4 linked regions of the Elephas maximus indicus genome follow. The main gene of each other region encodes a partner of the protein of the gene in region 4 in a complex. Links are inferred from orthologs where the notes say so. Each region holds a gene or a part of one and is shown on either strand. Other genes may lie near its edges.

What was found.
Region 1: POLR1B (region 4) and TAF1A share a complex: the UniProt entries of both Homo sapiens proteins name them as parts of the pol I pre-initiation complex. The link is inferred for Elephas maximus indicus from reciprocal best matches to the Homo sapiens genes POLR1B and TAF1A.
Region 2: POLR1B (region 4) and TAF1B share a complex: the UniProt entries of both Homo sapiens proteins name them as parts of the pol I pre-initiation complex. The link is inferred for Elephas maximus indicus from reciprocal best matches to the Homo sapiens genes POLR1B and TAF1B.
Region 3: POLR1B (region 4) and UBTF share a complex: the UniProt entries of both Homo sapiens proteins name them as parts of the pol I pre-initiation complex. The link is inferred for Elephas maximus indicus from reciprocal best matches to the Homo sapiens genes POLR1B and UBTF.

The regions. Positions count from the first base shown.
Region 1 is NC_064842.1:12,224,631-12,232,227, forward strand, and holds the start of TAF1A (TATA box-binding protein-associated factor RNA polymerase I subunit A), read right to left. Parts: upstream 3,019-7,597; 5' UTR 2,955-3,018; intron 1,189-2,954; 5' UTR 1,148-1,188; coding exon 1,027-1,147; intron 1-1,026. UniProt on the Homo sapiens protein: Component of the transcription factor SL1/TIF-IB complex, which is involved in the assembly of the PIC (pre-initiation complex) during RNA polymerase I-dependent transcription.
Region 2 is NC_064830.1:19,313,504-19,321,409, reverse strand, and holds the start of TAF1B (TATA box-binding protein-associated factor RNA polymerase I subunit B), read right to left. Parts: upstream 3,002-7,906; 5' UTR 2,952-3,001; coding exon 2,934-2,951; intron 1,181-2,933; coding exon 1,082-1,180; intron 1-1,081. UniProt on the Homo sapiens protein: Component of RNA polymerase I core factor complex that acts as a GTF2B/TFIIB-like factor and plays a key role in multiple steps during transcription initiation such as pre-initiation complex (PIC) assembly and postpolymerase recruitment events in polymerase I (Pol I) transcription.
Region 3 is NC_064837.1:50,744,093-50,751,825, reverse strand, and holds the start of UBTF (nucleolar transcription factor 1), read left to right. Parts: upstream 1-4,719; 5' UTR 4,720-5,128; intron 5,129-5,494; exon of another isoform or gene 5,495-5,584; intron 5,585-5,871; exon of another isoform or gene 5,872-5,961; intron 5,962-6,768; exon of another isoform or gene 6,769-6,854; intron 6,855-7,241; exon of another isoform or gene 7,242-7,327; intron 7,328-7,733. UniProt on the Homo sapiens protein: Recognizes the ribosomal RNA gene promoter and activates transcription mediated by RNA polymerase I (Pol I) through cooperative interactions with the transcription factor SL1/TIF-IB complex.
Region 4 is NC_064835.1:41,809,154-41,816,327, reverse strand, and holds the start of POLR1B (DNA-directed RNA polymerase I subunit RPA2), read right to left. Parts: upstream 3,003-7,174; 5' UTR 2,934-3,002; coding exon 2,757-2,933; intron 1-2,756. UniProt on the Homo sapiens protein: Catalytic core component of RNA polymerase I (Pol I), a DNA-dependent RNA polymerase which synthesizes ribosomal RNA precursors using the four ribonucleoside triphosphates as substrates.

The sequences.
Region 1 (7,597 bases), on a different chromosome or scaffold from region 4:
GGTGGTGGATTCAAAATGCTGACCTTTTGGTTTAGCAGCTAAGCATTTAACCACTGTGCCACCAGGGTTCTACTCTGTCTTATAGGGTCGTTAGGAGTCAGCATCAACTCGGTGGCAAAGGACTTGGTTTTTTCCCCTCTGATGGCTCTCTATGTCTGCTGCCTGTGGAAGGTGTCCTGGTTGTCTAGTGCTGCTCTAACAGAAATACCACAAGTGGACAGCTTTAACAAAGAGAAATTTATTTTCTCACAGTCTAGTAGGCTAGAAGTCCTAATTCAGGGTGTCAGCTCCAGGGGAAGCCTTTCTCTCTCTGTTGGCTCTGGAGGAAGGTCCTTGTCTTCAATCTTCCCCTGGACTAAGAGCTTCTCCCTGCGGGAACCTCAGGTCCAAAGTATGTGCTCTGCTCTAGGTGCTTCTTTCTTGGTGGTATGAGGTCCCCAACTCTCTGCTTGCTTCCCTTTCCTTTTATCTCTTGTAAGATAAAATGTGGTGCAGGCCACACTCCAGGGAAACTCCCTTTACGTTGGATCAGGGATGTGACCTGAGCAATGGTGTTACATCCCACCCTAATCCTCTTTAACATAAAATTACAACCACAAAATGGAGGACAACCACACAATACTGGGAATCATGGCCTAACCAAGTTGACACACATTTTTGAGGGACACGGTTCAAGCCACAACAGAAGGTCTCCTGCATACGGCTACCCAATGAAAACTTTGTTGTGCCAAACTTCAATCTCACGGTCACATCTTCTTCCTTGATTAGTCCTAATATCCCTCGAACTTACGACACTGCCACAATACAGACTATTTACTGTTAATTCAAAGGAAAAGAACTCTACAAGAGAAAAAATCTATGTTTTTTTTACAGTTTATTTTCTTTTCTCATGGCTAGAAAAAAATCTCACATATTCCCATCTTGAAAACGGAAGCTCTTCCCAGCCTGATTCTTCATTTTGTATCCACATTGAACCTTACCATCTCCTTGCATCAGGTTAAAATGGTTAGATGTTATTTTACTTACCCACAGTTTCCATTTGCTTTCGGAGCCAAGGAATAGACATTCCTGTACCAGAGAGCATTGATTTTTCCACCTGATCAGCCTCGGCCATAGGCCTCGTCAATTCGCCACTGAAGTCACTCATACCTATTCCAAACTGGGAATACGTGCACCTTAATCCATAGGCTTTTGAGTTATACCAAAAAAAAAAAAAAAAAAAGCCATCTAATAAATATCATTTACTCAGCAGAATTCACTGTACTTCATAGTTCCTTTAAAGTAAAAAATGAATTTAATTATATCAGTAACAGCCAAAACATATGGTCCTTTTGATAAAAAAACTCAGTAACTACTATGTGCCAAGAATATACAAATATAAATGATACTGTTTAAAAAAAAAAAACCTAGTCTAGAGAAACAGAAAAGTACATAATAAAACAATATAACAAGCATGATAGTAACAGTAGTAGCACTTGCCTAAATTTTTTAAATCCTTACTATATGCCAAACCCATTGCCACTCAGTTGATTCTAACTCATAGCAGCCCTATGGGACAAAGCAGAACTGTCCCCCATAGGGTTTCCAAGGAGCAACTGCTGGATTCAAACTGCCAACCTTTTGAGTAGCAGCTGCAGCTATTAACCACTGTGCCACCAGGGCTCCTACTATATGCCAGGCATATAAATTATCTAATCTAATCCTAAATTAAATAACAGCAATCCTAAAGAGAGAATATCGGAGAAATATTTGGAGGTAGCATCAACAGTACCTAATAACTGACTGCACATGGGGAATTAGGGAGAGGTACCCTGGTGGCTTAGCGCTTAAGTACTACGGCTGCTAACCAGGAGGCTGGCAGTTCAAATCCACCAGGCACTCCTTGGTAACTATGGGGCCGTTCTACCCTGTCCTATAGGGTTGCTATGAGTTCGAATCCACTCAACACCAGTGGGGTGTTTTTTTTTTCTACCCTGAGCATCTTCAGGATCAAGTCCAAAGTCAGCCTGGCATATGATTATCTTTCCAGGTTCCTCTCTCACGGTCAGTTCTACCTTTCGCATCCCTCCTTCACACAAGCCCCCAAACTCTAGCCCTGACAAGCAGTTTGACGTTCTTCCTACTTCCTAAAAGTAGCCACTCAGTTTCTTCAACATTAAAATGGAGGAAAATAATTAGTGAAGGTAACTACGCTGCCCAATGTCACAAGAAGGATGAGGGCGACATTTCAGGAAATAGAAGTAACATCAAACAGCTTGACAGGGCTGGAGTTGGGGGTGTGGGGGTGTGGAGGAGGGCAGCGGAAGGCAGTTGGAACTGATGGTGAGAAAGGAACCTAGAAAGATAGTCACATGACAGGCTGGGTTTGGACTTGATCCTGAAGATGCTTAATTCTCCATATCCAATCAATTATTAGGTACTCTTGACACAACCAGGAAACCCTGGTGGTGTAGTGGTTAAGTGCTACAGCTGCTAACCAAAAGGCTGGCAGTTCGAATCCACCAGGTGCTCCTTAGAAACTCTACGGGGCAGTTCTATTCTGTCCTGTGGGGTCGCTATGAGTCGGAATCGACTCGACGGCAACGGGTAACGGTAAAAACGCTGCCTCAAATTTTGCCTCTTCACAATACAGCCAAATTTTGCCTCTTCACAATACAGCCACACTAAACTTTGCAAAACCTAATTCTGCAGTTAGGAACAAGGGTTTTATATAAGATCTAAATTTGAGTCCGACCACCAGCTGTATTTTAAAGGGGTCGTTACAGAAGAGCTCCCTTCTCAAATTCGCAGACCCAAAATGTTGTCCCGCAGTTATCACGGTAACTAAAGCTTTTCCACCTCCTCTCACTTGTTCTTAGAATTGAAGGTTCCAGGGTATCTGGAGAAAATATTAGAAGAGCACGGATGAACCCTAGCACAAGCGATGAACGAGGGACATCGTGCGGGACATTTACCTGTCTGCTGCTCTCGCCTCCTCTTTCGCGGAACAGCGTTGGAGAACCGGAACCGGAAGTGACGCCGGCCACCGCTTCTTGTGAGCATGCGCAAAATCGGCCGCCGGCGCTCTGGCGCCTCGTGACGCAACCCCCCCCACCTCTAACAACCACTTCGGCTGTGACGTCATCGCCGCTATTCGACCCCGGAAGTGACTGAAACCGACGCGCCCCTGGTGGCTTGTCTCCGGATGTATGTTGTTGTTACCTGCAGCCGGAGAGTGGGAAAATTTAATTGCAAATGGGGATTAGGCAACAGGAGAGCAACTGGTTGGGAGGAACAGTCAAAAATGCAGAATGTCACTTTACTCGAGTTCTTTACTCTGCGATGACCGTTCGGTTTCTGCTGGGCTTAGGTGCACTGCGCTACCGGAGGCTGGCTGCTGGCATTACAAGATAGATTGTTGCATATTCTTTACTTTCTTAAGAGCTCTTTTCTTTTTTATTAAAGTTTAAGTGTCTCTGACTACTTCACCATAATTTGAGCTAGAATCTCGTTTTTCTTCTCAACGGGGGCTGTTCTGCGTACGTGTTTAGGGCCACCTTTCATGAAGGACACTGACAAACCTATATGAAATAGGGATCGGGTTGGAAGTAAGACGGTTAAACTATGTAAAATAATAGACAGTTGAGGGGTTGTAGAGATGACGATCTGGGAAAAGCAGAGACACGTGGGAATACACTGTATGTCTCCAGTGTTTGGACAGCTGATCTGTGAAAGAAGGCTTCAACTACCTTTTCATAGCATCAGAGTACAGAACTAGCACTAACAGGTGAAAGCTAAAGGAGGGCAGCTTTAAAGTCATTCCAAGAAAGAATTTTGTTCACACCTAAGCCTGCACAAATAATGACATAGGCTCCCCCCAGGAACCTTGGGGTTTCTCCTCCCAAAAGAGTGAACCATTTGGGCAGAATCAAGATATTATAGAGGAAATTAAAGGATCTAGGAAGACCAAGGGAGAAGTGATGCCTTTGAATTATGGTGTTGGCAAAGAATACTGAATATACCATGGACTGCCAGAAGAATGAACAAACCTGTCTTGGAAGGACTGCCAGAATGTTTCTTAGAAGCAAGGATGGCGAGACTGCCTCCCATAACTTGAGCATGTTACCAGGAGGGACCAGTCCCTGGAGAAGGACATCATGCTTGGCAAAGTGGAGGGTGAGTAAAAAAGAGGAAGACCATCAATGAGATGGATTGACACAGCAGGCTGCAACAGTGGGCTGAAGCATAGTAAAGATTGTGAGGATGGGGCGGGACTGGGCAGTGTTTTGTTCTCTTGTACACAGGGTCGTTATGAGCTGGAACTGACTTGCCGGCAGCTAAGAACAACAACAGTAACACCTTATACATGGACTCCTTGAAATGCTATGAATACTTGGTTCTGTGTTGTCTTAGTAAACACTGCAATAGTTACGGACTTGCAAGAAAAGTTCCTCCTGCTGCCCCTTGTGTCATAAGTGCTTGGCCCCACATAAGCCTGTGCCCAAGCTTCCCAGGGCAGGGATGACCTAAATCACAGTGTGGTCCAGGAGGGCACACACACAAAAGAACATAGCCATTAGCCTCTAGTCTATAGCCTTGGTCAGTCTGTATTTATTCCTTTGCCGTGACATATAACATAAAATATCAATATTAACAGGAGTTTGGAAGAAGTTGATTCCAGCCCTCATGGATGACTTCGAGGGGTTCAAGACTTTAGTGGAGGAAGTAACTGCAGATATGGTGGAAATAGCAAGAGAACTAGAATTAGAAGTAGCACCTGAAGATGGACTGAATGGCTGTAATCTCATGATAAAACTTTAATGGATGAAGAGTTGCTTCTTACGATTAGCCGAGAAAGAGTTTTCTTGAGATGGGATCTACTCCTGGTGAAGATGCCACGAACATTGTTAATCACAACAAAGGATTTACAATATTACATAAACTTAGTTGATAAAGCAGTGGCAGGGTTTGAGAGGATTGACTCCGATTTTGAAAGAAGTTCTACCGTGCGTAAAATGTTATCAGACAGCATTATGTGCTACAGAGAAATCTTTTGTGAAAGGAAGAATCAGTCAATGCAGCACATTTCACGACTGTCTTATTTGAAGAAGTTGTCACAGCCACCCGGAGCAGTCAGCAGCTGTCAACATCAAGGCAAGACCCTTCACCAGCAAAAGACCCTTCACGGCTCACTGAAGGCTCAGATGACGATTAGCATTTTTTAGCAATAAAGTATTTTTTAATTAAGGTATGTATATTGTTTTTTTAGATGTAATGCTGTTGCACACTTAATAGACTACAGTATAGTGTGAACATAACTTTTACATGCACTGGGAAACCAAAAATTTTGTGCGACTTACTTTATTGCAATATTTGCTGTATTGCGGTGGTCTGGAACCCAATGCGCAATATCTCCAAGGTATGCCTGTATACATGGCTAGAAATTCATACTGTCACAAAAATGGAGAAAGAATATCTGGTTTTCCTTAAAGTTCTTCAACACCTCTCGGCCACAGTACATAAAAGAGGGAAAGTAAAGAATGACTATCATTATGTGCCCTACCTTCCTCTTGTCTTTCTCATGGTATCACTCTGGTAAAAATTTATGGACCATATTATGTCTAAGCTAATATTATAAACAAGATAAAAAAGGAATGACATGTCAAAAATGCAAACAAAATAAAATGAAGCCTGCAAAAAGCAGACAGACTCCTATCTAGAAAACATCCCAAAGAACTGAAAGGTGTTCTCACAACTGCTTTGTGCTAAAGAGCCACTGAATATGATGATGAATTACATTAAAAAACAAAAAAGCCTGCACACTGACATGTAGAGAAGAGTAGTCCCATGAGCCTTTCCTGTGCAGTCTACTGAAGAATGAGCTTCAGACAACTAAACGATTGGAGAGACATCTTCATAAATTAACTATACTATACAACAGTTAATAGCATGAATACGACTTTAAAAAATCAATGTGGCAAAAGCAATAACATAAAAACAAAAACAGATCACATAATAACATAGAGAAAAATATTATCCAACTGTTGTTTATTGCCCTCAATTCAGCTCCAACTCATGGCCACCTTAAGTATAACAAAATGAAATGTTGCCTGGCTCTGTGCCATCTACATGATCATTGATATGTTGGAGTCCATTGTTGTGGCTATTGGGTCAATCCATCCATCGAGGGTTTCCCTCATTTTAGCTAACCTTCTGCTTTATTAAATGTGATAGCTTTTTCTAGTGATTGGCCTTTCCTGATGATGTGTCCGAAGTAAACAAGATGAAATCTCACCATCTTCGCTTCTGAGGATCATTCTGGTTGTATTTCTTCTAAGACTGATCCGTTTGTTCTTCTGGAAGCCCACAGTATATTTAGTATTCTTCACCAACACCACAAATCAAACACATAAATTCTTCTGTCTTCCTTTTTCACTGTCCAGCCTTCACATGCATATGAGGTGATTGAAAAGACCATAGCTTGGATCAGGCACACCTTAGTCACCAAGTGACATCTTTGCTTTTTAAAACTTTAAAGAGGTCTTTTTAGCAGATTTACTCACTGCAATAAGTTGTTTGATTTCTTGGTCACTGCTTCTATGGGTATTGATTATTGATCCAAGTAGAATACAATCCTCACAACTTCAATTTCAAACCTTATGGATAATAACAGAACATAAAAAAACCTTATGGATAACAACAGCACATATCCAACTGTAAATTCCCTAAACTACATGGACTAGGATCCCACCCCAGGCTTACACTGGAGGAAACACTGTATTCCCAAAGATGCACTGCCAGCTTCAGTTATTGCCTTTTTAGTAGCTTAAGCCTCTATATAAAGAAGCTCAGGCTGTCCTGCTGGAGAGAGAGGCCACATGGAGCCAACAGTCAGCACCTTGGTTCCAGACAGGTCAGGGAGACCATCCCAGACATTACAGTCCAAAACAGGCGCTTCATGCTTGCAATTGCATGAGTGGGTCAGTTGACACCACGTGAAGCAGAGGTGAGCTGTTCCCATGGAACCCTGTGTAAATTCTTATTTATCTATTTTTATTAACTTTTATTGAGCTTCAAGTGAACATTTACAAATCAAGCCAGACTGTCACATATAAGTTTATATACACCTTACTCCGTACTCCCACTTGCTCTCCCCCTAATGAGTGAGCCCTTCCAGTCTCTCCTTTCGTGACAATTTTGCCACCTTCCAACTCTTTCTATCCTCCAATCCCCTCTCCAGACAGGAGATGCCAACACAGTCTCAAGTGTCCACCTGATATAATTAGCTCACTCTTCATCAGCATCTCTCTCCTACCCACTGTCCAGTCCCTTTCATGTCTGATGAGTTGTCTTCAGGAATGGTTCCTGTCCCGTGCCAACAGAAGGTTTGGGGACCATGACCGCCGGGATACCTCTAGTCTCAGTCAGACCATTAAGTCTGGTCTTTTTGTGAGAATTTGGGGCCTGCATCCCACTGATCTCCTGCTCCCTCAGGGGTTCTCTGTTGTGCTCCCTGTCACGGCAGTCATCGATTGTGGCCGGTCACCAACTAGTTCTTCTGGTCTCAGGATGATGTAGGTCTCTGGTTCATGTGGCCCTTTCTGTCTCTTGGGCTCTT
Region 2 (7,906 bases), on a different chromosome or scaffold from region 4:
GACAAAGATGGGATCAGCATGGCTGGGGACCCTGACTTGGACTGTTAGCCTCCAGAACTGTGAGAAAATAAAATTCTATTCTTTAAGGCCACCCACTTGTGGTATCTGTGTTACAGCCGCACCAGGAAAGTAAGACAGCAGGTAAATCTGGTCCCTGTTACTCCATTTTGGCCAGAAGCAGAAGTCTTATTCCAAATTTGCCTTTCATAAGCCCACTTAGCGATGGCAATATTTGTTACACGTGTTCCATCATGGCTCTGTGCAGTCTGAAGAGTGCTGGCATGTTTAGTCTGTCCAACAGCAGGTTGTCCACACATGATTATTTTGGTTCTATTGCCCTTAACGTGTGGTAATCAGAAAAGGACCTAGCACTTCCAGCGTAAAAGTAGCCTCATTTTACCAAGGTTACACAGACCAGTGTGACAATTTCTATATTAAGAGGCAGGTATGCTGGGGTTAAAAGAACACTGGAGTCAAACGACTCAGATTCAAGTCCTGGCTCAGACACATTATACTTGTGTGATTTTGGCAAACGCACTCAACCCCTGTGAGGCCTACTTGCCCCATCTATGGATAGGCATAACAGTGTATCTCACAGGTTATTACAAGGTGGAAATGATATAATGGATAAGAAAACATTTTGTAATCTGTGAAGTACTGTACAAAGGTAAAATGATAACGAAGCATAATTTCCAATACTCTCAACGGTTTTCAATTTTTCTAATGCATCCCCTGCCCCAAACCTCTACACTATCTTGGCACGTTAAAAACTCTTAAATAAGTATTAACTAATATAAAGAAATGCATCGTCTTCTAAGTCCAATTTTAATTATTTCCCCTTAAACCACAGTTTAAATCAGGAAATCAATTTTAAATGTGGCTCACCATAATTTCAAAAACTCATCTTAAGTCTAATTTACAAATTCCTTAACCTATTTGTAAGCACTTGAAGACTTTACATTCTTGGAACTGTGACATTGCATGAGTGAGAAAAATACATCAATTCTTTGGGGATTATGCTACTATTAGGTTGAAAATGTATTTTTAAAACATAAATTCAAAAATTATATCTATTACTTACTTCTGTAACATTGTGGCAAGAAGTACAATAATATTTGCCTTCATCAGTAAGACCCCAAGAGACGGCAGCACACTGAGTACAGCGTTCTTTGAACTCTTTCTAGAGGAGAGGAGGATAAAAGAGGTGTTACTCTCAAACCACATTCAATACATTGTACCTAAACCTTGTATTTCTGCTTAGAGTATTCCCTGTCATTATCACAGAATATAGATTATTTGCAAATAAGTACAATAACGGTTCAGTCTCTTGATCAGTATGGAACCACTTTAAACTATTAGGGAAAATTTTCTAAACTTGGCCGTGAGGGAAAAAAGAAGAAAAGGTGGTAGGAGTAAAATTGGAAACAAAGAGAAAAGTAAATACAACTTCCCGAAAATGCTGTAAGAAAAAAGAAGACAAAAATTAAGTATAGAGAAGACTTCAAAAACAGAAGTAGCATATCATTGGGAACTTCCTCCAGGACACTACAAACACATACCCACCACAAAGGAGCTAGGTGTTTATTAGGGTACTTCAAGTTCTGATGTATTATTCAGCAACATAATGAGTACCAGCTACGTATGTGCCAGTATTTTACTAGGTGCTGGGGAGTCGGTGAGCAAAACAGATGTGATCCCTACTTAGAGTATAACAGGCCATTGATGAGTTATAATAATTAATTTTCTTAATCTAGCATTTACAGAACAGTTATTGCACATCTACTGCGATGAAGGCGTAACAATTGTGAGGATGGTGCAGGACCAGCCAGTGTTTCCTTCTGTTGTGCACAGGGATCACCATGAGTCGGAAGCGACTCAACGGCACCTAACAACATCACCGTACTGCTTGGGTACATCCAAACCAAAAAACCAAACCCAGTGCCATCATGTCGATTCCGACTCATAGCGACCCCATAGGACAAAGTAGAACTGCTCCATAGAGTTTCCAAGAAGCGCCTGGCGGATTTGAACTGCCAACCGTTTGGTTAGCAGCCGTAGCACTTAACCACTAAGCCACCAGGGTTTCCCTTAGGCCTAATTCTCTGACACTAAATTACTTATTCCCAATGTCTTTGGTGTTTGACTTAATATCCTTTATCTAAATGTAGCCCTGGTGGCTCAGTGGTTAAGATCTCGGCTGCTGACCAAAAGGTCAGCAGTTCAAATCCACCAGCTGTCCCTTGGCAACTCCATGGGGCAGTTCTACTCTGTCCTATACAGTTGCTATGAGTCGGAATCGACTCGACGGCAACGGGTTTGGTTTGGTTTAATTCCCTCATCCTCCCGTAATACCCTTAAAAAGTTGCTGCATTTTATGTAGCAGGTCAAAAATGAACGCAAAATTTATTTTAACAACTTGATAACGTTTTCAACTGTCATGACCTTGGGGTGTTCCAAAACTAGAATTTGGAGTCACGGCACCAGGCTGTGGCAGGAGTCCCAGAGGGACCGGCCGGGGTTACCTGGGTGCATTCTGGTTCCATCCGCTGCCCCGCCCTCACCCATCCCAGCATCAGAGGGAGCTTGGGGGTGGTCCCGTCGGGCGAAGAGGAGCCAGTGGGTGGCCACCTCGCAAAACCCACAACTTCGCCCTCCTCCGTAATACACCCACATCGACAAGCACACCGCCCTCCCTTCACCCACAACCTCACCAAGCCAGACACTCCAGCCTTTTTCCAAAAACGCGCACGAACGCTCCCCGGGACTGCCGGTCAACCCCATCCCGTTTCCCCGTTCTGCATCCTTCCAATCCGCCCTCCTTCTTCCAACGGCTTCCCTCACAGCTAGTCAGCGTCCTCCAACCCCTTCTCCTCAGCCTCACTCCCCTCCTCCCCCAGCTTTCCGTAGCCTATTGGCTACAACGGCCTCCTTACCGCCTCGTCTAGGTCCATAACTGCTCCGCTCCTGCCCCTACGGCCGCCGCCCCCGCCGCAAAGGCCCGTTACCCCGGCAGCGAGCGCAGCTTCCGGGAGCCACGAGAGGAGCCCTCCGGCCGGAAACAGAACCCCCTGACATTGGATTCCGGCGCCTTCGGCCCAGGTGAAACCCCTGTTCGCTCCGGAAGGAAGGAACCCAAAGCCCCCATTTGAGAGCACCCCTTGACCTAGGCTTGGTATGAACCAGTAAGAAACTGAGCGGTGCCTACTGCTGAACTAATTCAGTCATGCTTTGTTTTGACGGCCTTTCACTCCAAGACCCACTGATTTATTCAGGCTGCCAAGGGAGGCAGTGGGGTGCCACGTTCCAGAACATGGACTCGAACCGTTTGAGTTCCACGACTGGCTTTCTCCACCTCTTACTGGCACAGGAGTGTGTACAGCGTTAGGTGCCGTCGAGTTGGTTCCAAGTCATAGCCACCCTGTGTACAACAGAACGAAACACTCTTGGGTCCTGCGCCATACTCACAATTGCTATTATGCTTCTAAAGCTCATTGTTGCAGCCACTGTGTCAATCCACCTCACCGAGGGTCTTCCTGTTTTTCGCTGACCCTCTACTTGACCAAGCATGATGTCTATCTCCAGGGACTGATCCCGCTTGGTAACATGTTCAAAGTACCCGAGACAAGTCTCACCATCCTTGCTTCTAACGAACAGTCTGGCTATACTTCTTCCAAGACGGATTTGTTCATTCTTCGGGCAGTTCATGGTATATTCAATATTACTCGCCAAAACCGTAACTGAACTGCGTCAATTCTTCTTGTCTTTCTTATTCACAGGCATCGGGATTTGGAAGAAAAGAAAGAACACAGGTTGCTGAGTCAGACCTGCGTTTCTAATCACATCTTTTCTGCTTGTTTCTCAGTTTCCTCCTCTGCAAAAATTAGATGTTGCCTGTGAATCCCTTATAACTGAGCCATAGTAAGAGCTCAATACGTTCAGCGATTATTGTTCATACATTGAACACATTTATTCCTTGATTTATTCATTCAGTTCTTTCATTCAACAGGCACTGTTTTAGGACCTGGGGATTTAGCAGTGAAGGAAAAAAACAAAAGTCCCTGCCTTCATAGATTATATTCTTGTGGGGAGAGAAAAAAATAAATAAGAAAAAAATATATGATATGTTAAAAGGTGGTGAGTGCCAAGAAGAACGATAAAGCAGGAAAGGAGAATGGGAGTGCTAAGATAGATAACTGCAGGGAGTCGACTCTGACAACTTAACGTACAACAGAAGGAAAAGCTGCTGGTCCTGCGTCATCCCTGACCCTCTACTTCACCAAACGTGATATCCCCCTCCAGCGATTGATCCCTCCCGGTGACATGTCCACACAAGTGAGTCAAACAATGTTCTGTTGTGATCCATACTGTATTCATTGGCCGGTTTTTCAGAAGTAGATCAGCAGGCCTTTCTTCCAAGTCTGTCTTAGTCTGCAAGCTCTGCTGAACCTGCCCACTATGAGTGACCCTGCTGGTATTTGAAAGACTAGTGGGATAGCTTCCATTATCACAGCAACACAGGAGCTACCATAGTACTAAAACTGACAGATAGGTAGTTTCAATTTTAAATGGGGTAGTCAAGAAAGATCTCACCGAAAAGGTAATATTTGAGACAAGGGAGGAAGAGCCATGTTGAGAACAGTGTTCCAAGGCAGAGGTAGCAGTGAGTACCAAGGCCCTGAGTCCTGAGCCTTGTGTCATGTCGTTTAAGGATCATGAAGAAGGTCAGTGAATGGCTGGATTGGTGAGCTAAAGGGAGTGTCGAAAACAATGCCTTCGTAAGGTCTTCAACTTTTATATGGAAAACTTAGGGAAGTCATTGGAGGAGTCACATGATCTGACTTATGTTTAATCACTCTGGCTGTTGTGGGAAAAATAGAGTGCTGGGGAGGAGGGCAGGGCAAAGGAAGGGGTGGAGAGAGAAGTTAGCTGACTATTGCAACAGTCCAGGTAAGATATAATAGTAGCATGAACAAGATGGAAGCAGTGGAGACAGTGAGAAGTAGACAGATTATGGACAGATAGTACTTTGAAAGTAAAACCAACAGGATATTCTGATGGCCTGGAAGTGGGCTGTGAGAGAAAGAAAAGAGGCAAGGATGACTTTAAGATTTTTGACTTTACCAGCTAGAAGGGTGGAGCCATCATCAACTGAGTTGGGATGGATTGTGGTTGCAATAGTTTGGGAGTAGGATAGGGGAGGAATAAGGAATTTGATTTTGGCAGTTTTAAGTTAGAGATGCTTATAAGACATCCAGGTAGAGTGAGAAGGCAATTGGACATAGGAGTTTAGGATTCGGAGGAAAGTTTTGGATTGTTGCTAGTTGTTGTCAAGTCAGTTCCAACTCATGGTGACCCCATGTGTCCAAAGTGGAACTGCTCCACGGTGTTTTTAAGGCTGTGACCCTTCAGAAGGAGATCACCAGGCCTGTCTTCTGAGGTGCCTCTGGGTAGGTTCGAACCACCAAACTTTCAGCTAGTAGTTGAGTACTTAACTATTTGCACCACCCAGGAACTCCTTAAGTTTTGGGTTGGAGATATACATTTGGGAGTTATTTCTGACTAAACCAAAAAAAGCAAATCTGTTGCCATCGAGTCAATTCTGACTCATGGGGACTCCGTGTGTTACAAAGTAGAACTGAGCTCCATGGGTTTTTTTTTTTTTTTTTTTTTGGGCTGTAGTCTTTACAGAAAGGGGCCTTGGTGGCACAGTGGTTGGTTAAGTGCTTAGCTGCTAACTGAAAGGTCAGTGGTTTGAACCCACCAGCCACTCTGTGGGAGAAAGATGTGGCAGTCTATTTCCATAAAAATTCAAAGCCTTGGAAACCCTATAGGGTAGTTCTGCTCTGTCATAGAGGGTTGCTATGAATCGGAATCAGCTCAATGGCAATGGGTTTTGGTTTCTGGAATCTTTACAGAAGCAGATTGCCAGGCCTTTCCTCAGCAGCCCTATTGGGCACGTTCAAACTGCCAGCCCTTCCACTGGTAGTCAAACACAAACCGTTTTCAGCACTCAAGGACCTTATCTCTGACCAGATGATATTTAAAGTTATAAGTCAACGGAGTGGCTCTTCTCTCACTTCACATTCACTTGTCAATTCATTTATTTCACAAAGATTCATTAAACACCCAGCATATGCCAAACACTCTTCCAGCTCTTAGGGAATGAAAGGTAAACAAGACAAATTCACTGCCCTCAAGAAACACCTAGTCCAGTGGGACTGACTCCTTATTTTAATATAAAAAAAGACCACCCATTGCTGTGGAGTCCATTCCAACTCTTAGCGACCCTACAGGACAGGGTAGAACTGCCCCATCAGGGTTTCCAAGGAGTGGCTGGTGGATTTGAACTGCCAACCTTTTGGTTAGCAGCTGAGCTCTTAACCACTATGCCCCAGGTCTCCTATTTTAAAGTGAAACTAGATAAATTCTCCTTTGCAGTTGCATCACCCATGTCATTCACCAAGGCTTGATTCTGTACAGCTTCAAACTCCTTCCAAAAAATGTTATCCACCTGCCAAGCATTAAGTTTTGCCATGTAAAAATTTTCAGTTGTAAGCCTCCTATTTTCAAGGCCAGCCCTGATTTAAAATGTTGAAATATTGGACTGGCTGTTTGTGGAATAGGGAGAGTGATAAATATTAAACTGAACAGAAATTAATGTATTGGTCTAGACTATAAGCTCCTTGAGATCAGGGACTTCTGTCTTTTTATTTATCGTTGTATGCCCAGGGTCTATAACATTGCTTAGCTCACATGATTTTTAATAAACCTTTGTTGAATGAATGAATGACTTTGTAAGAATTTTATGTACATGTAAAGTATTTAAATAGCCTATCTGTATTTTTAAATAATATTTTATTGTGTTCAAGGTGAAAGTTTACACAGCAAGTTAGGTTCCCATTTCTATACACATTATTCAGGGATATTGGTTACATTTTTTTACAATGTATCATCGTTCTCATTCTGGTTATACCATTTTGAGTAGTCTAGTTTCCCTGCCCCCTTAACTTCTCATCTTTGCTTTAGTGTAATTTTTCACCATTTAGTTTTTTTTTTAAAGGAGTTCATTACTCACAGGTGATGTCCTTTATTTTAGAAGTCAATCTGTTATTTAGCTAAAAGGTGACCTATAGGGTTAACTTTGGTTTAAGGATTAAAGACTATCTCAGGGTGATCGTCTCAGGAAGTCCTCTAGTGTCAACTGGTCCAGTGAATCTAGACTTTTTAAGAATTTGAGTTCTGTTCCACAATTTTCTCCAGTTCTATCAGGGTCCATCTATTGTGGCCCTGATCAGAATGATCATTACTGGTAGCCGGGCACCATCTAATTCTTCTGGTCTCATGAAAGATGAGGCCATGGTTTGTGTAGACTGCTTTGTTCTCTGAGTCTTTGGTTTCCTTTTTTCTCTTTTGTTCTAAACAAGTAGAGACCAAAAATTGTATCTTAGATGGCCACTCACAAGCTTATAGGACCCCAGACACTACTCACCACATTGGGATGTAGAGCATACACTTTATGAAGTATATTATGCCAATTAATGAATTGTCCCATGAAACTCTGGTCCTAAGCCTTCAAACCCAGAAAACCAATCTCACATGGTATTTGGTTATGTCTAGGAAGTAAAAAAAAAAAAAAATTTTTTTTTTAGGAAGTATCCGAAACTGTGGTCCCTATGTGGTTTATCATATATATAAGTATACATGCATGCACACACATACCTGTATGTACGTATGATTATAGACACATCTATCTGTGCACAAATATGTACCCATATATTCATATATGCCTATATTCACATTTGTGTATAGACAACCTATCTGGATTTGAGACTTTGGACATATAGTTGCAGAGAAATGAGTAGCACATTTTTTTCCTCACCATTCCCTAACAGGAAAACTGACTTCC
Region 3 (7,733 bases), on a different chromosome or scaffold from region 4:
TCAGGAATCCCAAGATCGGAAAATAAGCTGATAGCTCAAGTCCCAAGAACCAGAGGTCAGACGAACTGGAGGCAGCTGCAGATCCACAGCCAGCAAAAAGCCAGAATATCTGCTTATATTCTGATGCAGGCCACACCCCCAAGGAAACACCCCTTCCACTGATCCCCTACTCACAACAGATTCCATCATGGGAGTGATCACATATAAACACTGAGAATCAAGGCTCACAATCTTAACCATCACATACTTCTGTGAAACTAATGAGGCAGGATTAGGGGCAGTTTATGTTAATGAGGCAGAACTCAGTCTACAAGATTAGGTCATCTCTTAAGTCAGTCTCTTTTGAGATATAAAAGAGAAGCAGAGAGACAGGGGACCTCATACCAGCAAGAAACAAGAGCCAGGAGAAGATCACATCCTTTGGACTCAGGGTCCCTGCATTGAGATTTTCGACCAGGGAAGATTGATGACAACGACCTTCCCTCAGAGCCGACAGAGAAAGCCTTTCCCTGGAGCTGGCACCCTAAATTCCGACTTCTAGCCTCCTAGACTGTAAGAGAATAAATTTATCTTTGTTAAAGCCATCTGCTTGGGGTCTTTCTGTTATAGCAGCACTAGATAACAAAGACATAGCCCTTTACTTGACGATGGGAATATTCTATATCTATATTGTCCATAGGTTCACCACTAGCCACATATGGCTATGGAGCACCTGAAGTGTGGCCAGTGTGACTGAGGAACTGAATATTCAATTCTATTTCATTTCAATTAATTTAAACTTAAATAGCCACATGTGGCTAGTGGCTACCCTATTAGACAGTGCAGCTATAGGGTTTTCTGAACTTAAGTCATTCACACATCACCTTAATTATCTTTGCCAGATCTTTGAGCCACTAATACTATTCTTTCCTTACTATTGTTCTTTTCACTGACTCAGCTTTAAAACTCAAATAAACATATTTAAAAAGATGATTTTATATGTGAAAAGGTGCTCAACATCATTAGTTACCAGAGAAATTAAAACCAAAATGAGGTACCACTACATGCCCACTAGAGTGACTACAATAAAAAGGACTGACAATATTAGGTGTTGGTGAAGATGTGGAGCACCAGGCATTCTCATACACTGGTGGTGGAGGGTAAATTGTTACAACCATTTAGGAAAAAAGATGCAGGAATTCCACTTCTGGAAATATATCCAAGAGGAATGAATGCATATAGTCCTCAAAAGATATCCACAGGAATGTTCAAGGTAGCTTTATAGCCATACAATTGGAAGCAACCCAAATTCCATTAGAAATAGAATGGATAGATTGTGGTGCATTCATGCAATGGAATACTATATAGCAAGGAAAAGGAACGAACTATGGCTACATGCAATATCGTAAATCGATCTCAGACATCATGTTGGGTGAAAGAGGCCAGAGGTAAAGGAGTATAACCAAACCCAGTGCCTTCGAGTTGATTCCGACTCATAGCGACCCTATAGGACAGAATAGAAGTGCCCCATAGAGTTTCCAAGGAGCGCCTGGCGGATTCAAACTGCCATCCCTTTGGTTAGCAGCCATAGCACTTAACCACTACGCCACCAGGGTTTCCATAAAGAGTATACACTGTATAATTCCACGTGCATGAAATTAAAAAATGGGTAAAACTTAGCTATATGATAGAGCTCAGAATATTGGTGACATCTGGAGGGGGATATTGACTTTGAGTAAGCTTGCAGGTGCTATAAGTGTTCAATATCTTGACCTGGGTGGCAGTTACACGGTAGATACATATGTAACATGGATACTATAGATACCACCACCAGTTGCCCTCAAGTCAATTCTGACTCATAGCATCTCCACGTGTGTCAGAGTTGAACTGTATTCCACAGGGTTTTCAATGGCTGTTTTTTTAGAAATAGATTGCAAGGCTTTTCTCCTGAGGTGCCTCTGGGTGGACTCGAACCACCAACTTTTTGGTTAGTAGCCAAGCTCACTAACCGTTTGCACTACTCAGGGACTCCATACTATGCATACCAAAAACAAAAAAACATGGCCTTTAAGTTGATTCCGACTCATTACTGTCTGTAAACTATACCTTCCTAAAAAAGAAAAAAATAAATAAAAAGAATAATAAAGGAACAATGGTTCCAAAACAGGTGAGGGGGGAAGACTTTACAACTATCTTAAATAAAAATAAAACACATTTCAATACACGTTAGTACATGCAACCCCGAAAATACGTTAATCTATGTGCCACTGAAATTATTCACGCACACCAGGAACTCAAACACCAGACTTTGTGAACACACTACGAGGTTTTTATGTGGGCTAGTGCTGGGATGCTGGCAACCAGGGAAGAGCTGGGGCCAAGTGGCAAAGGTGTAGCTAAGGCTTATGCCTCCTCACCAGCCTGGGCTGGGTCATGGAATGCTGAGGATCTGCTTCAAGGCTTATGCCAGAAACTAGAGGGGGTTGGAGGGTTGGGAAAGAGGACAAAGAAAAAGGGCCAAGGGCAAATTCTCTCAGCTCTGGCCCATAGCCCAAGTCCTAGACTTGGCCCATAGCCCAAGTCCTAAACTCCTGACCTCATCAGAGATGCAATGGATGTAAAACAAGCCAATGGGTTTCCAAGTAGGAAGAGTGCCAGCCATGATTTTTGCTACCCAAGGAACGAAAAATCAATAATAATCATTCTTATGATTCATGTCTATCCTGTTTTGTTCCAAAGCACTTTACCGAAAGGTCCCTTGGCCCAGCCAAGAAGTTCAGGACCAGGACCCAGGACACCTGGACTCCAAATCCGTGTGTGAAATAGTTGGAATTTTTGGGGGGTCTAAGTTTTTCCCAATGTCTTTGTGGCAAGTGACATCTGTAGTCTATTTTACAGTTTTACAAAATTTTAGCAGAGTAAATAGGATGGCTAGTCTAATTTTGCAGATGTGGAAATTGGAATTCTTAAGAGGGTGGTGAAGCTGGGACTTTTGAGTTCAAACTAACTCTTTGCTCTTTCTCAGTCTAAACAGAAGTTAGTCCGTGCTTCACTCTTTAGCACAGGAGAGGTGTCTTGATCAGACACAAAATGAATGCCCTGCCTGTGTTCCGGGGCAGATCTGGGTCTGTGGAGCCTGAAGCTTAGACAATTTGAGGTAGGCGCTCTTTCAGGAAAATACCAAATGTTAAACACAAAATTAAGTACAGGGCTTTTGGCCCGGCTCTGCCAGGGAGAGGCCTTGAAGCTTAAGCTTCATTAGCATGGTGTGGCAATGGTGAAGCATTTGGTTGTTAACCAAAAGTTTGCCAGTTCTAACCCACCTTGCTGTTCCACGGGAGAAAAGCCTTCACGGTGGGCTCCCTAAAGAGTACAGCCAAGAAAACTCTATGGAGCAGTTCTACTGCGTCATATGGGGTCGCTATGAGTTGAAATTGACTCCATGGCGCCTAACAACAAGAACAAAGTGCCTTCCCTGCATGCCCTGCCCACTAAAAGCTCTGGACACACCAGATCTTGACAAGGATTTTCCTCCCTATTTGTGAAACGTGGCAGATGTGGATGTGGAAACCCTGGGAAGAGGATCTCGTTTCTCCCAGGAGACAAGAGGAATTACAGCAGCATCGAGGCCCTGTGTGAGGCTGGAGTAGGCTGTGTGCCAGGGGAGAATCCAAAGGGGCTGGTGACCCAACTGGCGAGTCGATGTGGCAGTAGCAGCTTTGGAGAGGGCCACTGGCAACTGGGAGCCAGGAGCGATGGCGCTGCCCGTGCAGCGAAAGCACAACCCCTAGGCTGGCCTGTGGGAAGCAGGCGTTCTTCAGACTGTTTTCTGGCTCCCTGCGTCCAGATAACCCTTCCTCGGAGCAGGGAAGGCCGAGACCGACAACGACAGCCGGCGGCAGTGGGGGATGGATGGTGGTCGGCGCCCAGGCCCTTCCATCCCCCGCCCGCAGGAGGGTGGAGTGCGGGCGGCCTGCGAGGGACCTTCCCCGCTGCGGCTCCGGCGGCGAGGCCGGGGCGCCGGGATCCCCTCGCGGTTCCCAGCCGCCGGGGTTGGGGGGGGCAGCGCCCGCGGCCTGCTTTCCCAGGGCTGGCCAAGCCTTTTTGACAAGCTGATTGCGTGACGGGGATTGGCTGGTCCCGGAGTGACGCCGGTAACAACAAAGGTGGAGTTGGAAGAAATTAGATTAAAGGAGAGAAAAAAAATTAAAGGGGGAGCTGGCAGGGGACGGGAGGAAAAGACCGAGGGGAGAAGCGCGAAGCGCGGTCTTCCTGCTCCGACTTCCCCCCGGAAGCCCTTCGGCGCCAGCCGGCCAGGATTTTGCTCTCTACCTCTACCCCGGCCCAGCGATCGAAGCCGGGGTAGGAGTGGTGGCTGCTACTGCTCGAAAAATTCCCCCACTCCCATCCTGACACCCCTCGATACGACCCAGGGGGAGAACTTTTTGCTCGGACTCCTCGAATCCTAGCTCGGCGGAGGTGGAGGACGTTGAAAACGAGAGGCTCGCTTTAAAACCCGGAAGGCCCTCGCGGGTTTTAAAGCAATCGGACGACACGGGGTGTTTCCCCGGTTTTTCGATGTGTTGCAAATCTAAGAAAAGCGTCTTTTCTTTTTTTTGTAACAACCCCTCTTCGCTTCCCTCCCCCCCACCCCTCGCTTTGGCTTCAGGGTTGCAAAAGCAAAGAGCAATAAAAAAAAAAAAAAAAAAAAACCGCGCACACACTCAGACACACACCAGTGGCGACAGGGGAGAGTTGGGAAGACGCAGGAGAGAAGCAGGAGGCAGCCGGGGAGGGAGCAATGGGAGCGGGAAGCAGGCAAGTTCCCTCGCAAATCCCCCTCCGGCCCTACGCCGGCCGCCTCGCCGGCTCCGGCAGGGGAGCGAGGAGCCGGGCGAGCAGATGGAGAAGTGGAGCTCGCTCTAGGCAGCGGGCTTGGCCGGAGAATGGAGGAGCCGCCAAGCGACCGGCTGATTGGAAGAGAAACGCAGCGCGATGGAGGCGGGGGTAGGAGGACGATTTCTCTGCGGGGACTGGCGGCGGCGTACACGCCCGGGTCGGGCGCTGCAGAGCTTGGCTAGCTTTCAAACCGCGCTCGCCGGCTCCAGCCCCACGCGCCCCCACCCCAGTCCTCCCGGCGGCTCCGCAGGTGAGTGCGAGCTGGGGGCAGAAAGACCCGGAACAGTCTCCGCACGCCCGCCCTGGAAAAAAAAAAAAAAAAAGCAAAAAAAAAAAAAGCATTTTTCTTTTTCTATTTTCGTGCAGCCCCCAGCGCGGTGGGAGGGAAGGGGTGAGGCTGAGCCGCCCGAGGAGGCGGAGGGGCCAGGCGAGGCCGGGGTGGCCCGGGAGGCGGCGGCGCCGAGGCGGCTCTGACGGGCAAGCGCTCCGAGCGGCGCTGCGCTGCGCCGAGGCGGGCGGGCGGGCGGAGCGGGGCGGGCGGAGCGCGGCGCGTGGGGCTCGCCATTAGCCGTCGCTCCGCTTCGCCATCGCGGGCTTTGTCTGGCGACTCGCTGCCCCAGCGTCGGCTGCAGCGGAGCTGCGGCTCCGCTCCTCGGCCCGCCGCGCCCCCAGGTGCCCCCGGTCGGCGCTCGCACCCACACGCCCGGTGAGTGAGCCCTGGCGCCGCGGGATTTCGGGGGAGAAGGGTTGCCGCGAGCGGCTGCCAATCTCCATGCGCCGGAGCAGGCCTGGGGAAGCCATGCCGGGCTGGATTGAACCGGCTCCCAGAGCGGTTCCTCCGCCGGAGCCCGTCGCCCCCTCGCCGTTTCCGGGGTGTAAGAACCAAAAGGGGATTTTTTTGCGGGGAGGGTGTTTTGTGGGCTTTTTTTAAGTTTCGTGTGTGTCGTTCGGCAGCGTGGGGACCGCGAGGTAGGCGAGTGCCGGAGCCAGGCGCCGCGATCGCCGTGCGTGCGTCCCAAGCCGGCGGCCACGCTCCGGGGATAAGGGTGGGCGCTGATCGCCCGCTCCGGGAGACGGAAGCGGGTGAGAGCTGGCTTGGGAGCCCGGGTTGGCGCTGGGAGGATTGGCGGGAGCGCTCCGGAGCGGGGCCACGGGCACCCCGAGCCTCCCTGGCCGCCGGGGGGCCCTCCGGGCACTCTCACCGCGGCGCGCCTCGCGCCCTCCCTTCCGCGCCTGCTGAGCCTGCTAGTTTCCCCGCGAGTCTGGCGAGGTCGCTCTCGGCGCCCGCCCGCCCGCCCGCCTCGGCTCCGAGCCCCGCCGCCATCCGGGCGGCTGCGTGTCTCCCTGCCCGGCCCCCCCTCCCCGGCGGCAGCAGTAGCCGCCGCCGCCGCCACCCCCCTCCCCTCCTTCCTTCCCTCCGCCTCGGCCGCCCGGGTCCCCCCAGCTCCCGCCCCTCCTCCCAGCTGCCCCCCGCGGAGCCCGCCCGGGCAGGCTGTGGGAGGGAGCGGAGCCGGCGAGGCGGGCGGGCTGGCGCTCGCTCCCCGGGGGTCGGTGTGCGCTCTACGGGGAAGGACGCGCTCGCTGCCCCGCTTCGCCCGCCCCCTCCCGCTCCTCCTCCTCCCTTCTCCCTCCTCCTCCCCGCTCCGGCGGCGGAGGCTGCGGCGGCGGCGGGGGGTGTGCGAGCTGAGGCCGGGGCCGGCGGGCGGGCGGCGGGCGGGCGGCGGGCGGGCTGCCTGCAGGCGGAGGGCGCTGTGCTTTGTGCTTTTCGCCGCGAGGAGCAGCAGGCAGCAGCCACAGCCGCCGCCGCCACAGCAGCAGCAGCCGCCGCCCCAGCGCCGCCGCCGCGCCCGGAGGAGGAGCCGCTGCCGCCGCGGGAGGGAGCTGCGGCTGTGCCCGGCCGAGCGGGGGAGGCGCCGCTGCTCAGAGCCGGGGAGGGAGCCGCGGGAGCGGGAAGCCTGGAGGCCGCGCTGCGCCGGGTAACCGAAGCGGGCCGAGGACGCGCGCCAGGGTCGGGGCCGGGGAGCGAGCCGCGGGCGCGGGGGACGTCCGGCGGGGACCCGGGGCGACCTCCGGACAGAGGACTGGGCGAGAGCAGACCAGGGCACTGGGGAGGACGCCGAGAGCAGAAGGAGGGGAGGACAGGAAGCGAGGCCCGAGCCGAGCCCGGGCCGCGGGCGGAGAAGCCCGCGCTTCTCCGGGCCGGCAGGCGCAGTTCTCGCCGGCCGCCGGAGGGGGCGGCTGGGCCGGTGAGCGCTGCGCCCCCGCCTCCCGGCCGCCGTCCTCCCGCCCTCTCCTTGGCTCGGCTCCCCGGAGGCCGGGGCGGGGGCGCCGGCGGGGCTGGGCCGCAGGCTCGGGGGAGGAGGCGGCGGTTCCCGCCGCGGTCGCGCCTCTGCGCTGGGCTCCTCCGTGCGCGTCGGGTGGCTGGGCGGTGGCAGCGCTTCTGGCCGGGGTGGGTGGCTCGGGGGCGGGGGGCAGGCTAGGCCGCTTCTCTCCGGCTGCTCGCCTGCCCGGGCGGGCGAGGACAGCGGCGGGACCCCAGGAGGGGGGGCGGCGGAATCCGGATCCGGTCCCCGGGGGCGTTGCGGCCGCTGCGCTCCGGGGCTGGCGGCGGCTGCGCTGCGTCCGGGTCCCCGCCGGGTTGCGGAGGCGGGGGGAACCGGCCGGGGGGGAGGCGGGAGGAGGAGACTGGGGCGCGTGCCCGCTCCCGCGGCCGCGCGCGCCCTTTACCCGCCCTTCCTCCTCCCCCGCCCTTCAGCCTGGGGCCTCCCCGGGGCGGGCAGACAGAGGAGGAGGAGTTTTTTTTTTTTTTTTTTTGGCCGGGGTGGGGGAAGGAGGGTGGAGGGCGGGCGCTTGCT
Region 4 (7,174 bases):
AGAATCGACTCAGCGGCAGTGGGTTTAATCCATTTATAAGAAGCCCTGGTGGTGTAATGGTTAAGCGCTCGGCTGGTAACTGAAAGGTTGGCAGTTTGAATCACCAGCTTCTCTGGGGGAGAAAAGGCCTGGCAATCTGTTTCCGTAAAGATTACAGCCTAGAAAACCCAACGGGGCAGTTCTACCCTGTCATATAGGGAGGCTATGAGTCAGAATCGACCTGACAGCACACAACAATCCATTTATTCTATCCACTTGGCAGAGACAAGTTCAGGTTAAGACTCAGTTTATGACTTTTACTTTTAGTTTTTTCTATTAAGTATGAACAACTTCCTGGCCTTAATGTCAGAATAATGAAAATGCTGAAAACTGAGCCAAGAATACAAAGGGGGTCCTCCACCCTCGAGTGAGTTCAATTTACCAGTCACCAAGTAGGAGATGCTACTCTAGACATGGATATACAAGAATAATTAAGATACCCATTAACCCACTGCCATCAACTGCTCCTTGAAAACCCCATGGGGCAGTTCTACTCTGTCCTACAGGGTTGCTATGAGTTTTTTTTTTTAATTCTTTATACCAGTAGATTTCAAAATGTATTCTGACCCTTTCAGGGTGCCCATGAGGTCCAAGCTATTTGCATAGTAATCCTAGGACATTATTTGTCTTTTTCACACGCATTCTCTCATGTAAGCACAGTGGAGTTTTCCAGAGGCTACGTGAAGTGTAATGATGTCAGCGTTCTGGCAGCTAGTAGCATGTGTGTTTGTGTATTCTCATTTCTAAAATTTTCTAAGGTAAAGAGTTTAAGGCATAAACACATGCATTTCCAGAGATTAACTCAAGTTACCATGCTCTTACTAGTTACCTTGGGCTGTACTCACAATAATCTCTGCAACTTCATTATCATCCAATAAATTGTTGTTTTGAAATTATGAATGATCTTGTGCCGACTTGGAAATACAAGTAGTACACTTTTGTTGTCTATTTAAAAATTTTGAAAACTTTCCAAAATTTTTAAGTTTTATCGAAGGCTGGTGTTATTTTAGAATACTTTATTCTAAAATAAATTTTGTAATAGATTTCATACTTAAGGGTGGACTGTTAAAGAAGGGAGAAAAGATTCACTTTCTCAAGCCACAGCTGCACTAGCGATCTCTAGAGATGCTGAATAGACAGCGCAACAGATTACCAGCTCTCTGACTCACAGAAGTCAGGAATGCACTTCTAAGAGGCTGGATACAACCGTTGATTTTGACTCCAGGCGACCCTACATGTGCAGAATAGAACTGCTCCACGGGGGTTTGGAATCGACTTGTTAGCAATGGGTTTGGTTTTGTTTGTTTGATCCTTTCAGAAGCAGATTGCCAGGACTGTCTTCCCAGGTGGCTCTGAGTGGTTTCAAATCACCAACCTTAAGGCTAGTAGTTGAGCGCTTAACCATGTGTGCCACCCACAGACTGCTAATTGTTAACTATATATATATATATAAAATTTTCTCACAGACAAGATACAGTAAGAGTTCAGGCACGACAGAAATATTTCCCATTGTCTTCCTCAAAAAGGCTAAGGAGCCTTAATCTTCAAAGAAACCTTAATGGCTCCCACATTATTTGCAGAACAGAGTTCAAGTATCAGAAACTGGCAATCAGAGACCTCCACATTCTCTCCATCCTTTTCCTGACAACACAAGTCCAACCTGTTCAGTGTTCCCCGAGTAGCTGGCTCTGCTCCTTCACGTCCCTGGAGGGAAGCATTCTCCTCTTCCTTTAACCTCAAACGCCTAGATTTGCTGTACCTTCTATGCTGGCCACAGTTCCTTACACTACCCCTTGCCAGGGCAGTTAAGAGTATTGGCCCCGAGGGCTTTCATGTCCACCTTCTTCTTATGTGGCCTAGGACCTGGAGACACTGGGATGGTAATTCAGTGAGACCTTCCCGCAACATCCTCACCTGAACTCTGGTTACACCTATGCTACCTAAGAGAGCTATTACTACACTTTCTACTCAAAAGTACGTCCCATTTTCTTGGACAGGTCAGAAGAAATCTTGCCTTTATGGCTCATTTACATCTTTCTCAACACCTGCCAAATCCGAGCAGGTGCCTCGTAGTTTCTCTTTAAAGCTCTGAGAGAAAACCTGAAGAACGACCGTATACTGACTTCACAGTCTGTCTACGACTAGTTTCGGAACCTTTGGAAGTAAGTCTTCGCGGAACACCAAGAAGTTAGCGTTGAGAACGGCTGGGAAGCCCAGACGGGTCACTTCCTCACTCTCACAACACCCACAATCTTTCAAAACACCACAGTCTGCAATCCCATATAAACCCAGCAATCACAAATGCACTTTTCCCTACTCGACTCGGCTCCAGGTCTTACGAGGCAAAGGACTGCGTCCGTTTTACATTGTTTTGCTCTCTGGCGTTCCCTGGGGAACCGATCAAGGGGCTCATATTTGTGATTACATGGTGACCTCGCGGCCATTTCTCCGGAACCGCTGGCCCGGCCCGGCCCGGCCCGGCCCGGCCCGCCGCCCTCGACCCCCGGCAGCAGGCTGGACGCCTCACGCACCCATCCGCATCCGCCACGCCCCACCCGCACCCACCCGCACCCGCCGCACCCCACCGCACCCCGCGCTCCAGGCCCGCCGCCTTCCAGCCGCAGCGCCTCGCTCCCTCCCAGCCCGCCGGCCCTTCTCTCAGCCCACCTCCAGCTTCACCTCGTAACGGCAAGCGGCGAGGGGGACGCCGCGCTCACCTGCACTGCATGGCTGAGTCCTTCTCGCACCGCGTAGTTGAAGGACTCAACATGGGCCCGCGTCAGCTCCTGCAACGCTGGCTTTTGCTGTTCCCGTGGGATCGCGTAAGCGGGGTCGGTCAGGTGCTTTAGGCTAGGCCCGCTAGGCAGGTTCTGCCACCGGCCGCCGGGCTCCATGTGTCCGTCCGCCTGCACGCCGAGCTCCAGGGGCCGCTCTGCGGGCGCCAGGAAGAATGGCCGGCTCCCGCGGCCTGCTGGGAAATGTAGTTCTTCCGTGCTCCGTCCGCTCTCGGCTCTACCTCTGCTGGGTCGACTTGGAACTAAAACCGCAGAGTGAAGGGGCCGGTTTAAAACTCACAGAGCTAGAGCGTGGCCTGACCGCCCCTTCTCTTCTCCTCTCTTCCGCTGCCCCACCCATGTCTTCCCTGCTAAAGACAAGGAGGTGGACAATTGCTCCACGCCCAATTAGGCCTGGGAACCCTCTGGCTCTCATTCGCTCCCTCAGTCAAATTGGGACTTAGAAGAGCAGTCTTCAAATATTCCCTTCTATTCCCCTGTCTGCTTTTTGAACCGATGCTGATTATTATGACCCAGGGGCGACACCCAGTTGGTGTCTTGGCTTCATCCAAAAGGCAGGTATTAGTGGTTCCGCAGGCTGACTGCTCTCCCTGCCCAAATTAGGTCGTGAAGGCCCATCAGTGGGGGCCGGTGAGCAGTGGTGGCCCATGCAATCCTCTCCCGCTGTTACCAATTGCCAATCTGACACAAAGGGTCCTTGTCTTTTCCCGAGTAAGAATACAGGTGAAAGACAAACTTTATTTTCAGCAAGCTTTATTTTGCTTGAGTCAAGCAAAGGGAGTCAGTGAGGATCTAAGCCTCTCTAACAGACTGACTCGAAAAGGCAATCAAGGTCTTGTATGGGTTTGGTGGAGACAATAGAGTAATGAATATTTAGTGGGCTTCTTTCAAGGGTTGGGTACTTCCCAGAATGACTGTGCATGTTAATTAGATTGCGCTTAGGTTGCCTGTGCACATCTGGAAACCAAATGGTACCTGCTGATATTCAAGATGGATTCCTCTCGGCAGCCCTTGGCATCACTTACTATGGGATATAGGGCAAGCACACTGATCTTTGGCACTACATCACCATCTTTGGAGGGATAAGGAAGGTTAAACAGCCGTCACACTTTGTTCTGTGCATGTGGAAGGCTGTAAAGGGGGAAGGGACTAGAAAAAACACTAAGAAGGAGATAGTAATTCCTGGGTCGTTTCAGCCTTTTCTCATGTTGACAGGGTGTGGTTCCTGTTTACCCAACTTCTAGCTGGTAATCTTTTAGCAGCTCTTTTGTTCCACGAGCACAGTTAATCCTATCTGTATCACCATCACCTGGACCAGAGTGCTGGGGTGGGGTGGGGTAGGGTGGGGTAGGGTGGAGTGGGCAGGGAACCCTTACAGGGAAAAAGTGGGGAGGGGGCCACCAAGGGGACTTCCAGCCTTAAGATCTTTTGAATCTGTATGAATCATTTATCTCACCAGAATATGGATCTATCAGGGAATGCTAGCAGATGTCTTTCAACTTCATCGTTTTGTGGGTGCCTTAAAAAAAATGTTTTTGAAGTATAATGCCATGCAATAAACTGCACATATTTAAAGTGTACTAGTTGCTCTTTGGAAACCCTGGTGGTGTAGTGGTTAAGAGCACTGACTGCCAACCAGAAGGTCGGCAGTTTGAATCCACCAGGCGCTCCTTGGGAACTCTGTGGGGCAGTTCTATTCTGTCCTGTAGGGTCAGTATGAGTCGGAATTGACTCGACAACAGGGTAGTTGCTCCTTAGAAGCAAGGATGGTGAGACTACATCTCACGTATATCAGACATGTTATCAGGAGGGATCAGTCCCCGGAGGACATGCTTGGTAAAGTAGCGGGTCAGTGAAAAAGAGGAAGACCCTCAGTGAGATGATTGACACAGTGGCTGCAACAGCGGGCTCAAGTATAACAATGATTGTGATGATGGTGCAGGACCAGGCAGCACTGGGCAGCGTTTTGTTCTGTTGTAGATAGGGTCGCTGTGGTGAGGAAGAGTCTTATAGACTACTCCACACTATTTGTGTCTTTCCACAATGTCTTTATTAAACAGTTTTTTTTAGGTCTTACATTAATTTCTTCAATTCATTAAGCACAAACACACATTAGTAGGTTCTTGGCTATCCCAGACGCCAGAGATCTCAGATCACCAAAAACCAAAAAACCAGACCCAGTGCTATTGAGTCGATTCCAACTCATAGCAACCCTATAGGACAGGGTAGAACTGCCCCATATAGTTTCCAAGGAGTGCCTGGCAGATTCGAACTGCCGACCCTTTGGTTAGCAGCTGTAGCCTTAACCACTATACCGCCAGGGTTTCCGATAACCAAAGGAGGGGAGAAATGAAAGACACAGGTCAAACTTACGGCAAGCGAGGACAGCAATTAGATGGTGCAGTTCAATGATGCCGTTCAATGGTTGGTGATGATCTCCAGTCTTAATGGTTAGCGGTGGTCTCTGGATCATGCGTAGCTCCCTGTGGGCTCATGAACCTTGTAGCAGGAAGGTCTGCAAGTAAGCCCGAACCAGCTGCCGCTACCCACTGCTTGGTGACCGTTCCGTTCAACGTCTCTTGAGCTAGGAGCAAGCACAGGTGAGCTGCCGCAGCCCACTGCTGCCTAGTTCTCAATGTATGACCGAGAGCAACATCTCTTGAATTTAGGAGTAAGCCCGGGCGAGGTGACGCAGCCCACTGCTTCCTAAATTCTCAGCGTATGACTGAGTGGCTCTGGGAAGGCTCCAAGCACTGTCGTCTCCTTCTGTTGCTTCTTTTGTACACGTTGGAGCTCTTTGAACTCATCTGGTTGATGATGATAAAGTCTGATGCCATTATGTGGGTTTCTTCTTGATGAAGTCTGTCAGTCTCTCTGGTTATCCTGATATGACTATCTTCCTTAGTCAAGCTCACAATGTCTTTTTATCTCTTGGGCCTGCTCCCCTCATTATAGACTGAACTGAAGATGACAGCCACACTTGTCCAGACATGTCCCAACATGTCTCTTAAGCCTGCTTTCCACAGTCGCCATGAATTGGAAGCTACTCGATGACACCTAACAAGTTGATAAGTTCTGACATACATATATGCTCATGAAGCCATCACCACAATTAAGATAATGAACTTATCCACCACTCCCAAAAGTGTCCTCCTGCCCCTCCTTCATCCCCACTCTCCTACTTAGGGACTCCCAGAGGGCAGGTGAACCAGGGGATTATGGCAGGAGCAATCATTCCCATAGCATATGTAAACCTGCGGCTGTTGAGTCCATTCCGACTCATGGCAATCCCAAGTGTTAAAGAGTAGAACTAAGTTCCATAGGGTTTTCTTGGCTGTAATCTTTATGGAAGATCACCAGGCCTTTCTTTCGAGGTGCCACTGGGTGAGTTTGAACCACCAACATTTTGGTTAGTAGTCGGACTCATACCACTTGTACCACCCAGGGTCCTTACCTTTAAAAAAAGCAAAAAAGAACTCAACAAAAAAAGAACACAACAAAAATCTTTAAAGGGTCAACCACCCTCATTGTCTCCTCACCCATCCTTTGTCACCTCCCCCACACCCTTCAATCCACCCCACCTCACCGTTCCACTTGGACTGCTCTTTACAAGTGACCTCCATCTTGACCTTTCAGCAGCATTTAATTCAGTTAACCATTCCTTCCTTCTTGAACGCTTTCTTCACTTTCTTACAAAACAGCACTCTATCCTGGTTTTTCTCCTACTGCCTTCTAGTCTCCACTGCCTTCCTGACCTTTGAATACTGCAGTGTCTCTAGGCTCAGCCCTAGCCTTTTTCTCTTCTCTTGCTTCCTTCACTCCCTAATGAGGTTATCAGCCCCTCCTATGCCGTTGGAGTCCCACCCTCTGCCTTGAACTCCAGATAAAACCAAAAAAACCAAACCCATTGCTTTCGAGTCAATTCCAACTCCACAGTAGAGCTGCCCCAAAGGGTTTCCAAGAAGCGACTGGTGGATTCAAACTGCTGACCTTTTGGTTTGCAGCCAAGCTCTTATCCACTGTGCCACTGGGGCTCCAGGTAAGTATATAGTATTTAGCTCTCTACCCAGCGCCTTTCCTAGATATCAGATAGAATCTCAAACTTCCCAGATGTCTAATGTCTGAAGCAGCACCTCTCTCTCTCTTTCTAGTTTTGAAACATTAGCTGATCTTGCTAACACCTTCCTTGCTAACACTTTAGTCCAAGGGTTTCTCAGCATCAGCACTATTGATATTTTTTGGACCCAATAAGTCTTAGTTGTGGGGCTGTTCTGGGCACTGTAGCGTGTTTAGCACCATCTCTGGCTTCTACCCACTAGTTGCTGGTATGAGGCAGGCAG